Linked DNA regions of Macaca fascicularis. The protein of the gene in region 1 interacts with the protein of each later gene in a pairwise test. Links are inferred from orthologs where the notes say so. Each region holds a gene or a part of one and is shown on either strand. Other genes may lie near its edges.

Region 1 (5,475 bases):
CTAAAACGCCCGCTCCTTTACCCAGGGGGTAGTTAAGATACACTGGAGATGGGGACATGGATATGGGCAGATTATCCAGGGCCTGCATGAGTGGGTGAAAGGCCCTGCAGAGAGAGGGTAGGGAAGGCTGTACAAGCGCACTGCCCAGATCTGTGAAGCCACATGCATGCATGCGGGGACATTCAGACATGAGTGCAAGGAGGGACTGTGACCAGGGAGGTCATGTGACAATACATAGGCATGCCTGCACACCCATGTGAACTTGAGTGCCAGGCCACACACTCTTTTTTTTTTTTTTTTTTTTTTACCTGGAGTCTTGCTCTGTTGCCCAGGCTGGAGTGTGGTGGCATGATTTCGGCTGTGACCTCTGCCCCCTGGGTTCAAGCAATTCTCCTTCCTCAGCCTCCCTAGTAGCTGGGATTACGGGTGCAAGCCACCACGCCCAGCTGATTTTTTGTATTTTTAGTAGAGACAGGGTTTCACTATATTGGCCAGGCTGGTCTCAAACTCCTGGCCTCAAGTGATATGCCCGCCTCAGCCTCCCAAAGTGCTGGGATTACACGCTTGAGCCACCGTGCCTGACCCACACACTCTTTTTAATAATCATGGATGGCCAGGGGTGCAGGGTCTAAAAAGCACTGCCTAGCCCATCCTGCTGTTCACTGGGCAAGCGACGTCACATCTCCAGGTTTCAGCATCCTCATCCATGCTGTGCCTCTGATGGCAATCTAGCCAGGATGGGAGGAAGGAAGGATGCAGTGAGATCACAGATATGAGAGCATCTCGGAAATAAAAATGTACCTGCAAGAGGTGGTGGTGATTTTTCTGACTCAGGCCAGCTTCTGCCAGGGCTAGCGGAAAGAGGGGGTGGCATGGCATGGAGCCGGTGGCATGGCATGGAGCCGCAGCGGGTGGAGGGCTGGCTTACACTGCCGTGCCTGAGGAAGCGGTGGCTGTTTCTGGGTGGGATGGGAGTAGTGGGAGGGGGATACTGGCCTTGTGAGAAGAAGAGGGAAGTGTTCGAGAAGTTTTTGAATTCATAAAGGAGGAGGCGCTCAAACTCCAAGCACTTCACTTGCACCCGGGGCCACACCCCAATCCCAGTGACTCCCTGAGGCCGCCCCGCTCCGTCCCGCCCCGCCCCGCCCCGCTGACAGCGACTGGGCTGGAGAAGGCTCTGTACGGAACACCTCTGGGGACGGGGAACCCACTGCTCCCAACTAAAGCAACCCTGTTTCCTGTCCTGCCCCAGACAGGGCTGCAGGCCTTGTCTGAGTCCCTTTCAGGGCAGCTGGCCTTGGATTGTCTGTGGCTTTGCCTGGTCCACTGTGACTTCCTTTCTACTTGAGCCTTGGTAAGGCAGACTCTACTCCCTCACTCGTAAGCAGCCAGGCGTCCAGCAGGTCCTCCAACGTCGATCTTGGCCCTAAGACGCCCAGTCTGGGCACGGAGTTGTTGAACTCCGGCTGGAAGTCCCTGCTTCAGGGCCAAAGGCCCCATCCGGGCTCCCCCGATGTCCCCGCACCCCCCTCTATTCTCCCAAAAGAAAGAAGCGGCTTCCCACTTCGGAAACGTTTATTCTGAGCACCGGGAAGGGGGGCGGCGGCGGGCGCCTCACTGGGTGCTGAGCTTCTTAGTGTACTCCTCGAGAGCGCTCAGGAAGCTGACCTTGAAGCTCTCCAGCACGGGCAGCAGGCCCTGGCGGAGGTCCTCGAGCGCGGGCTTGGCCTTCTCGCTGAGCGTGCTCAGATGCTCGCTGGCCTTGGCGTGGTACTCGGCCAGGCGGGCGCCGCCGTTCTCCTTGAGCGCCTCAAGGCGCGCGGCCAGGCGCTGGCGCAGCTCATCGCTGTAGGGGGCCAAATGCGTGCGCAGCGCGTCCACGTGGGCGCGCGCGCGGTCGCGCACCTCCTCGCCCAGCGGGCTCAGTTTCTCGTGCAGCTCGTGCAGCTTCTGGCGCGTGCCCTCGTGGAGCTCCGCGCGCAGCGGCTCCACCTTCTGGCGGTAGAGCTCCATCTCCTCCTGCCACTTCTTCTGGAAGTCGTCCAGGTAGGGCTGCACCTTGGCCTTCACCTCCTCCAGATCCTTGCTCATCTCCTGCCTCAGGCCCTCTGTCTCCTTTTCCAGGTTATCCCAGAACTCCTGGGTCACCGGGCCGAGCTGTTCTCGCAGCTTGCTGACGGTGGAGGTCACGCTGTCCCAGTTGTCCAGGAGCTTTAGGCTGGGGCGTGAGACAGAAGGGTTGAGGGCTGGCCTCCCAGCGCCCCAGCCTACCGGGGTGAGCCCTGGGCAACACCTGTTCGCGGAGGTGCAGTGGCCTTGCGTTTCCAGTACACGCTCAACCAAAACCCCTGCCCCGCCAGGCCATGCCCCTTTGTGCAGCTGGACCGAGGCACAGAGAGGAGCTAAGAAGGAGACAGAGCTGGGACTGGTGCCCAGTTACGTTGGTCTCCAAAGTGGGCCCTTGAAGGACCTCGCTTCTATGCCTCCAGCACATTCGCCTCTCCGAAGACAGCCCACACTCTTGCTGGGCAGGGGTAGAGGAGGTGGTGAAGAAGGGAAAGGGGTCTGCTACACTTGCAGGCACAATGTGGCACTGTGATCACAGGTCGGGCAGCCCTCGTCTGTCCTTTGCAAGGGGGCATGGGCTGTGACCCTGCATAGGGATCCCATTCCGGTTTCTCCATCCAGACCATCTGTGGGACCCAGCTCATCAGATAGTAGGTGAGGACTCGGCCAGTCTGGCTTCAACATCTTCCCACAGGCCTCTGGCCCCTGCCCCTGCCCTCAACCCCAGGCTGGGTCCTTACTTTAGCTGTTTTCCCAAGGCGGAGCCTTCAAACTGGGACACATAGTCTTTGCCGCTGTCTTTGAGTGCTTCCACGTACACAGTGACCAGGTCCTTCACTCGATCCCAGGGGGTCTGTGGGGGTTCATCTTGCTGCCAGAAATGCCGAGCCTGGCTCCCTGAGGGTGGGAGGGGAGACCCAGATCAGGCCAGCTGTGGGCTGAGATCTGAGCCGAAAGGCCAAGCTTGGAGGTGGGGGAGAGGGCGCTGCCTCTGCCCAGGAGGGTGGGCCACAGGGGTTTGGGGAGAAAGCCCCCCGATGGTTGGCTCCCTAGGCTGGGGGACACCTACCCGTCAGGAAGAGCACGGCCAAGGTCAGCACCGTAGCTTTCATCCTGAAGGGCCGTGGGGGACCTGGAGGAGAAGAAGGGGCTGGTTGAGTGGGGGGCCTCTAGCATGCGGAAGCCCCGTGCTCCCCCATTCATTGCAGCAAGGTGAGGAGAAGGGCGCAGAGTGGGAGAAGACCTCAGGTACCCGGAGGCCCGGCCTGGAGCAGGGCCTGACCCTCGAGCTGGGGAGCCAGAGTCACCCGGAGCAGGGAGCAGGACTCACCTCCTTCTCGCAGTCTCTAAGCAGCCAGCCCTTGCGGGGCCTATTTATGTCTCCAGCCAGGGGCTGGGCTGGGAGGCAGATAAGCCCAGCCCCAGCCCTGTTGCTGCTCACGGGTCCTGGCAATGTGGAACTTAAGAGTTCAAGGATCAGCTCTGTCCTTGGGGCTGGGCAAATAGAGTGGGCAAACAGCAAGCTGCGGGGGCTGCAGGGCAGGGGTCAAGGGTTCAGTGGGGGTGGGAGGGGAGTGTCTGCAGGCTTGCAGGTCCCTGGGGTGGGGTCGGGGTTCCCTGCACTCATCCCTTCCCCTCCATGGGAGTGTGTGGGCGGTTGCCATTGTCCATTGTGTTGGCAGAGGAGAGGGTGGAGGGACGCTGGGACTCCTCCACCCAGGAGACCTCCTCCCCCACCATCCTGCATTCCAGGGAGACTACTTCACTCCCCTTCCCCTTCCCCCCATCCTGTCCTCCCACCAGTGCGCTTCTTTAGTCCCCAGCAGGTCCTCCAGGCCTCTCTCCAAGCCTCCCAAACTGGTAAACCTGGGGAGAGGGGAGAGCGCTCCGTGGCTCCCAGACTGAGGTTTCGGAGACCTCTTGCATCAAAACACTCTTGAGAGTAATTCAGAGCTGCCAACTTTTAATTCTGTCTTGTAAAGATATTGTAAAGACCATCACTTCAAAAAGGAAAGACTTGAAAAGAAAAGGGCATAATCTCAGAATTACATTACAGAATTGAAGCCCCTTAGATTGAAGACGTCTCCCTTCGCATTGTTCACACTTACATTTGATCACGCACACGTGAGACTGGATCTCAGCCCTCGGGAAGCCCTGGTGTGGGGAGAAGACCCTCGGGTAAGGAAGTGGCAGGAGACCACCTTTCTCATTTCACTTGGCCTCCATCTTGCTGGAGGAAGATTGTGGGCAAGTTATGTAATCTCTCTGAGCCTCAGTTTTTTATCTGCAAAATGGGGCAAGAATGGTCAGGGTTTTTGGAGGCCCCTGAGACAGCCTGTGAACGTAAAGTGCAGTGTGTCCGTTCGTGTTTGCAGCATCATCTTGTCAGGTTTCTCCTGGAAGGCCCAGACCTCCCCCAGCAGGTTACTGACAGGACCTGAGTCCTAGAGCCCGTGATGCAGGCTGAGAAGAACTGTGAGATCACTCCAGCCCCTTCCCACGCCACCATCTCACAGATGAACAGACTGAAGAGCACGGAGGGACTTTGCCCAAAGGCTCTCATCTCTCAGGGAGTTAGACGCAAGGCTGGACCTAGAACCCAGTCTCTGGACTTAGGATGCAGGGCAGACATGTGCCCTGTACCATCACCCCAGGAAACTCCCTAACACCACAAACCAGCCTGACATCTCTGTTTACCAGATCAGGGAGTGGTCGGCCTCATGCCTTTCACTTCAGAGAAGATTCTGGAGCCAGAAAACCTTAGATTTGAATCCCAGCTCTGCCACTTACTAGCTGTGTGACCCTGGATGAGTTATGATACGTCACCTCCCCACACATCAGTTTCTGATTGAAGATAATGATAGAACATGCCATCGCCCAGAGTTACGGCAGGGGTTACTGTGTGGCAAGCAGAATAACGCTCCCCAAAGATGTCCACATACTCATCCCTGGAACCTGTGGCTTTGCTACCTTCCATGGCAAAAAAAGATTTTGCCAGTGTGATTAAGGACCTGGAGATGGGGTGGTTGGCCTGGATTCTCCAGGTGGGCCCATTGTCATCACAGGGGTCCTTAGTTATACAAGAGGGAGGCGGGGCCTCAGAGTCAGAGAAGGAGATGTGAGGATGGCAGCGGAGGTCAGACTCATGTGACTGCTGGAAGGGGGCCATGAGCTGAGGGGCATGGCCAGCCCTTCCCTAGAAGCTGGAGAAGGCAAAGGATTTTCCCCTGTAGCCTCCAGAAGGAGCACAGCTCTGCTGGCACCATGATTTTAGCCCAGTGTGACCCATTTTGGACTTCTGTCCTCCCTAACTGTAAGGTAATAAATTTGTATCGTTTTAAGCATGAAATTTGAACATATATGCAAAACTGTTAGAAAGGTACCTCGCACTTAGTAAACAGTAACTAT
Region 2 (5,867 bases), on another chromosome or scaffold:
AATACAAAAAATACCATGTGTAGTGTTGCACACCTGTAGTTCCAGGTACTTAATGAGGCTGAGGTAGGAGAATTGCCTGAACCCGGGAGGTGGAGGTTGCAGTGAGACCAGATCGCACCACTGTACTCCAGCCTGGGCAACACAGCAAGACTCCATTTCAAAAAATGAAAAATAAGACCGGGCACGTGGCTCACACCTGTAATCCCAGCACTTTGGGAGGCTGAGGTGGGCGGATCAAGAGGTCAGGAGATTGAGACCATCCTGGCTAACATGGTGAAACCCCATCTCTACTAAAAATACAAAAAATTAGCTGGCATGGTGGCGGACGCCCGTAGTCCCAGCTACTTGGGAGGCTGAGGCAGGATAATGGCGTGAACCCGGGAGGCGGAGCTTACAGTGAGCCAAGAGCGCGCCACTGCACTCCAGCCTGGGCAACAGAGCAAGACTCCATCTCAAAAAAAAAAAAAAATAAAAAATAAAATAAAATAAAATAAAAATAAGAAACGTTTCACCCTGACCTGGCTTTCAAGGCCTGTCATCTCTTGCTACCAACCCCTTCTTTTTTTTTTTGAGATATAGTTTTGCTCTGTCACCCAGACTAGAGTGCAATGGCACTGTCTTGGCTCACTGCAACCTCTGCCTCCCAGGTTCAAGCGATTCTCCTGCCTCAGACTCCCGAGTAGCTAGGACTATAGGTGCCTGGCACCACACCCAGCTAATTTTTGTATTTTTAGTACAGAGAGGGTTTCATTATGTTGAGCAGGCTAGTCTTGAACTCCTGACCTCATGATCTGCCCGCTCGGCCTCCCATAGTGCTGGGATTACTGGCGTGAGCCACCGTGCCAGGAGTTTTTTTTTTTTTTTTTTTTTTTTTTTTTTGAGACAGAGTCTCGCCTTGTCACCCAGGCTGGAGTGCAGTGGCACGATCTCAGCTCACTGCAACCTCCACCTCCCGGGTTCAAGTGATTCTCCTGCCTCAGACTCCCCAGTAGCTAGGACTACAGGCATGCACCACCACGCCTGGCTAATTTTGTATTTTTAGTAGACACGGGGTTTCTCCATGATAGTCAGGCTGGTCTTGAACTCCCGACCTCAGGTGATCCGTTTGCCTTGGCCTCCCAAAGTGCTGGGATTACAGGTGTGAGGCACTGTGCCTGGCCTCCAAACAATCTTTCTAAGTTTAGGCCTGGCTCGATGTTTTGATTCCTTCCTTTTTCTTTTCTTTTCTTTTCTTTCCTTCTTTCTTTCTTTTTTTTTTTTTTGTTGTTGTTGAGACAGGGTCACATTCTGTTACCCAGGCTGGAATGCAGTGGCACAAACATGGCGCACTGCAGCCTCAATCTCCTGGGCTCAAGGGTTCCTCTTGCCTCAGCCTCCCAAGTAGCTGGGACTACAGGCGTGGGCCACCATGCCCGGCTAATTTTTTTTGTATTTCTAGTAGAGACGGGGTTCTCGCACTCCTGACCTCAAGTGATCCACCCACCTCAGCCTTCCAAAGTGCTGGGATTACAGGTGTGAGTCACTGTGCTCTGCACATTCTTCACTGTTTATTCCCCACGCTGAAACAGTTTCCAACACTTAGCAGATGCTCAATAAATATTTTTTAAGGAATGAATGACTCTCTAACTTGCCAAAGGGAGCAAGGGTGGGTTTGATGATGTACTGAGCATCTACATGTACCAGACACCCTGTAGGCCCTCTCCTTTACTTCCCCGCAGAACCACCAGTTTATAGGAGAGGAAGCTGAGGCTGACAGTAATGACCCTCTGTCAAGATCACACAGGAAGTAAGGGGTGCTACGCCAGCCTGGGGACGCAGGTCTGGCCAAGCTTGGATCCTTCATTTTCATTATCTCACAACACCATCTTTTTTTTTTTCTAATAGAAACAGGATCTTACCACATTGGTCAGGCTGGTCTCGAACCTCTGGGCTCAAGCAATCCTCCCATCTCAGCCTCCCATAGTGCTAGGATTACAGGTGTGAACCACTGTACCTGGACAAGACCATCTTTTTTTTTTGAGACAGAGTCTCGTTCTGTCACCCAGGCCCGAGTTCAGTGGCGCAATGTCAGCTCACTGTAACCCCCGCCTTTCTGGTTCGAGCAATTCCCCTGACTCAGCCTCCTGACTAGCTGGGATTACAGTCGCACGCCACCACGCCTGGCTAATTTTTTTGTATTTTTAGTAGAGACAGGGTTTCACCATATTGGCCAGACTGGTCTCGAACTCCTGACCTCAGGCAATCCGCCCACCTCGGCCTCCCAAAGTGCTGGGATTACAAGCATGAGCCACGGTGCCCAGCCCAAGACCATCTTTTAAAATGTGGCCTGGATGAGAGTCAGGGAAACTGTCCCTGAAGTCTAAGCACCCTGAGATCTAGTTGTGTGACCAGAGGGACGTTGTCAGCCTCTCTGGGACTTGTTTTTTTTTTCAATCTGTTCATCTTGGACCATCCTCCAGGGCTCCACCCAAAAACACAACCCAGCCCTCCTGTGCCCTGGGAAGGGTTCTAACCGTGTCTTGGCAGGAAATTCACTCTGTTTGATGCGGTTGATCACTTCCCAAGCCTTGTCCTCCAGGGTGTTTCCAAACTCCTTCAGCTTATCCAAGGCGCTGGAGACATCCGGGGCCCCCTGGGCTGGGGCTGGGCCTGCCAGGAATATGGGCAGGGGTTCAACATTTTTCTTTTTTTTTTTTTTTTGAGACGGAGTCTTGCTCTGTAGCCCAAGCTGGAGTGCAGTGGTATAATCTCGGCTCACTGCAACCACCACCTTCTGGGTTCAAGCAGTTCTCCTGCCTCAGCCTCCCAAGTAGCTGGGATTACAGGTGCGTGCATCCATACCCGGCTAATTTTTTGTATTTTTAGTAGAGACGGAGTTTCACCATGTGGGCCAGGCTGGTTTCGAACTCCTGACCTCAAGTGATCTGCCCGCCTCGGCCTTCCAAAGTGCTGGGGTTACAGGCATGAGCCACCCTGCCCAGCCAAAAATTTGTTATTGGAACCCCCTTAGGATGGGATCCCGGGATGGATAAGGAGATCTTTGGGGATCATGTGGTTAGAATGGGGAGGATACTGGAGTGACCTAGTGGGGCTCAAGCCGCTGGGAGTTGCCTTACTCAGCACCGACCCCTCCCGGAGCCCCCCATCCCGCTTACCCACTTTCAAGGCTGTAGAAACAGGACAGCCAATCCCAGAGGTGTGGGCGTCAATACGTCATCGGTTGCTAGGGCTCTCCTGGGCAGATTTGGCGCCTGCCGAACTGAGCCTGGGCGAACCTGGAGACCCACCCGACCACAATGGGGCAACCACGACCCAGAAGGGGCCCCAGAGCTCTCAGAAGTCCTCTAAGCCGGGACCCCCGGCCTGTAGCCACCTTCACTCTTCCAAAAGTCCAACTCCGCATTCTCCCATCCCACTTTTACCTTCCAAGACCATCGACAGAACCACCACCAGGACCGGGAGCGACAGGAAGAGCCTCATGGCGGGGCCGGAGGGGCACTCTGGAGGCAGAGGGAGGGGTGCAGGAGATCAGTGGCACCGTCCTCCCTCCCTCCTTCCCACGATCCCCTCATCTCCCTTTTTTGAGTTCTTGCAGAGTGGAGGCTGGTGTCCCTCCCAAGCACTCAGCACCAACCTGAATCCTTCCTGGAGGGCTGGTGTGGGAGGTCCCGGCCCGCAGGACCTTTATCAGGCTGGGGAGGGGGCGGGGCAGGTTGATGTTGATCTCCCTCCTCCTGAGCCTGCCTCCCTGTGTCCACCCACGTTTTTCTCCTCTGTCCCTGGCCCGTGGGCGTTGGGGTCAGGTGGGGTCCCGGGCACTTCCCTTAGCCCCAGAGCCCCTTACGGTTCAGCATTCTCATCTCCCAATCTTCCTGACTCTGGGGGGTCCTCAGACTACTACAGTCCCTTTCCCCACTCAGAGGACAGCCTCGTCCTGTCCCTGTGGACATCTTTCCTCAGGGGCCTTCTAGTAATAACCCTGTGATCTCATCCGCCCCTCATTCACACCATGTCCCTAGACCACCTCTTTCCCCCACTTCCCCTCTCTTAGCAAGCCTCCTCAGCCCCAACAACTTTTCCTTTATGTTGCTGGGGTCTCAGTTGGCCCCGCACTCCTACCCTGCGTGCCACCTCCAATTTCTTTCAGACCAGCCCTTGAAGCACCTCAGACCACCCTGATACTCTCTGGGCTCTTAAGTTGATGGTTCTCAGTGTCCCTTTTTTTGTGAGGGGGTCACCTTAGCTGGACGACACTGTAAAAACCTCACTTGCATTAGCCAGGTGTGGTGGCTCATGCCTGTAATTCCAGCGCTTTGGGAAGCTGAGGGAGGATCGCTTGAGCCCAGGAGTTCGAGACCAGCCTGGGCAATATAGGGAAACCTCATCTCTACAAACAAATTCAAAAATTAGCCGGGTGTGGTGGCGCATGCCTGTAGTCCCAGCTACTCAAGAGGCTGAGGTAGGAAGATTGCTTGAGCCCAGGAGTTCGAGGCTGCAGTGAGATATGATTGCGCCACTGCACTCCAGCCTGGTGGGACAGAGTGAGACCCTATCTCAAAAAGTTAAAACCCTCAGCTGAAAAGTTCTGAGTGTATGCCCCTTCCTCCCTTCCACCAGGACTCACCCCCTTTGCCTGACTACCTCCCCACAACACTCCATCTGCTCTTATTCACCCTCCAAGGCCCCTCCTGGCACCAAGCCTGCTTCCCCCCATCACCACATCCGTCCCCCAAGGCTGGAGTCCAATTCCTTCCCCACCAGCTGCCTTTGACCGCCAGTGACCCTGGCAGCTGGTGGGGAGGGTGTCCTCGGCCCAGCCTCAGACTCTAGGTTGGCTGGCCTTGTGCCCCCACAACCACGTGTCAGCCTGGCGGTAGGGGGATGGTTGTGAAAGGGACAGCATAGACAAGACCCTGGCAGGATTGCAACATCCCTCTGGCCAGTTCAGAGCTTCCAGTCCCTGTCAGCCCCAGAGGCCCCCCTACTTCCCCAACTGAGCCCAACATTCCCCAAACATCCACCCAGATGTCTGCTTCCCTGACCCCACAAGAATGGAACAACAGGGCTCCTGTTTTCCAGCCTCATCCTCTCCTCTGCTCTAGGAGTTTCTGTTTTATAGATGGGGAAACTGTCGCCCAACCAAGAACATCCAGTAGGGCTCAGCGAGGGGCAAAGATGGGGGCTACTGGCTGGTTGCAGTGGTTCATGCCTGTAATCCCAGAACTTTGGGAGGCCGAGGTGGGCGGAACACTTGAGGTCAGGAGTTGGAGACCCACCTGGCCAGCATGGTGAAACTCCGTCTCTACCAAAAATTCAAAAGTTATTCAGGGATGGTGGTGTGCACCTGTGGTCCCAGCTACTCAGGAGGCTGAGGCAGGAGAGTCGCTTGAACCATGAGGTGGAGGTCCCAGTGAGCCGAGATTGTGCCACTGCACTCTAGCTTGGGTGACAGAGTGAGACTCTGTCTCAAAAACATAAAAAATAAAAAAAAAGGGGCTCTTTGTCTTTCTCCTTCCCAGGCTCCAGGATATCTCTCTGGATTGTTGCTGGATCAGCTCCTGTCCCATACGACTCCCTGCCAGCCTTTGTTCTGGAACCTCCTTCCCATCCTTGCATCACCTCTGGATCTGACTGGGGATGTAGTGAGATAGGGCACCCTGTCTGCTTAGACGTCTTCATAGGTCGGCTGGTCGTGGTGGCTCACACCTGTAATCCGACCACTTTGGAAAGCTGAGGCAGGAGTATCTGCTTGAGCCCAGGAGTTTGAGACCAGCCTGGGCAACATAGTAAGACCCCATCTCTACAAAAAATGTTAAAATATAGCTGGGCGTGGTGGCTCACGCCTGTAATTCCAGCGCTTTGGGAGG

What was found. The genes of interacting proteins can lie anywhere in the genome.
Region 2: the proteins of APOA1 (region 1) and APOC1 interact in a two-hybrid assay, tested with the Homo sapiens proteins (2 studies listed by BioGRID, with this or other methods). The link is inferred for Macaca fascicularis from reciprocal best matches to the Homo sapiens genes APOA1 and APOC1.

The regions. Positions count from the first base shown.
Region 1 is NC_088388.1:115,687,437-115,692,911, forward strand, and holds APOA1 (apolipoprotein A-I), read right to left. Parts: upstream 3,452-5,475; 5' UTR 3,398-3,451; exon of another isoform or gene 3,311-3,397; intron 3,200-3,310; 5' UTR 3,180-3,199; coding exon 3,137-3,179; intron 2,965-3,136; coding exon 2,808-2,964; intron 2,219-2,807; coding exon 1,615-2,218; 3' UTR 1,558-1,614; downstream 1-1,557. UniProt on the Homo sapiens protein: Participates in the reverse transport of cholesterol from tissues to the liver for excretion by promoting cholesterol efflux from tissues and by acting as a cofactor for the lecithin cholesterol acyltransferase (LCAT).
Region 2 is NC_088393.1:52,946,063-52,951,929, reverse strand, and holds the start of APOC1 (apolipoprotein C-I, basic form), read right to left. Parts: upstream 3,661-5,867; 5' UTR 3,635-3,660; intron 3,501-3,634; 5' UTR 3,481-3,500; coding exon 3,423-3,480; intron 2,650-3,422; coding exon 2,514-2,649; intron 1-2,513. UniProt on the Homo sapiens protein: Inhibitor of lipoprotein binding to the low density lipoprotein (LDL) receptor, LDL receptor-related protein, and very low density lipoprotein (VLDL) receptor.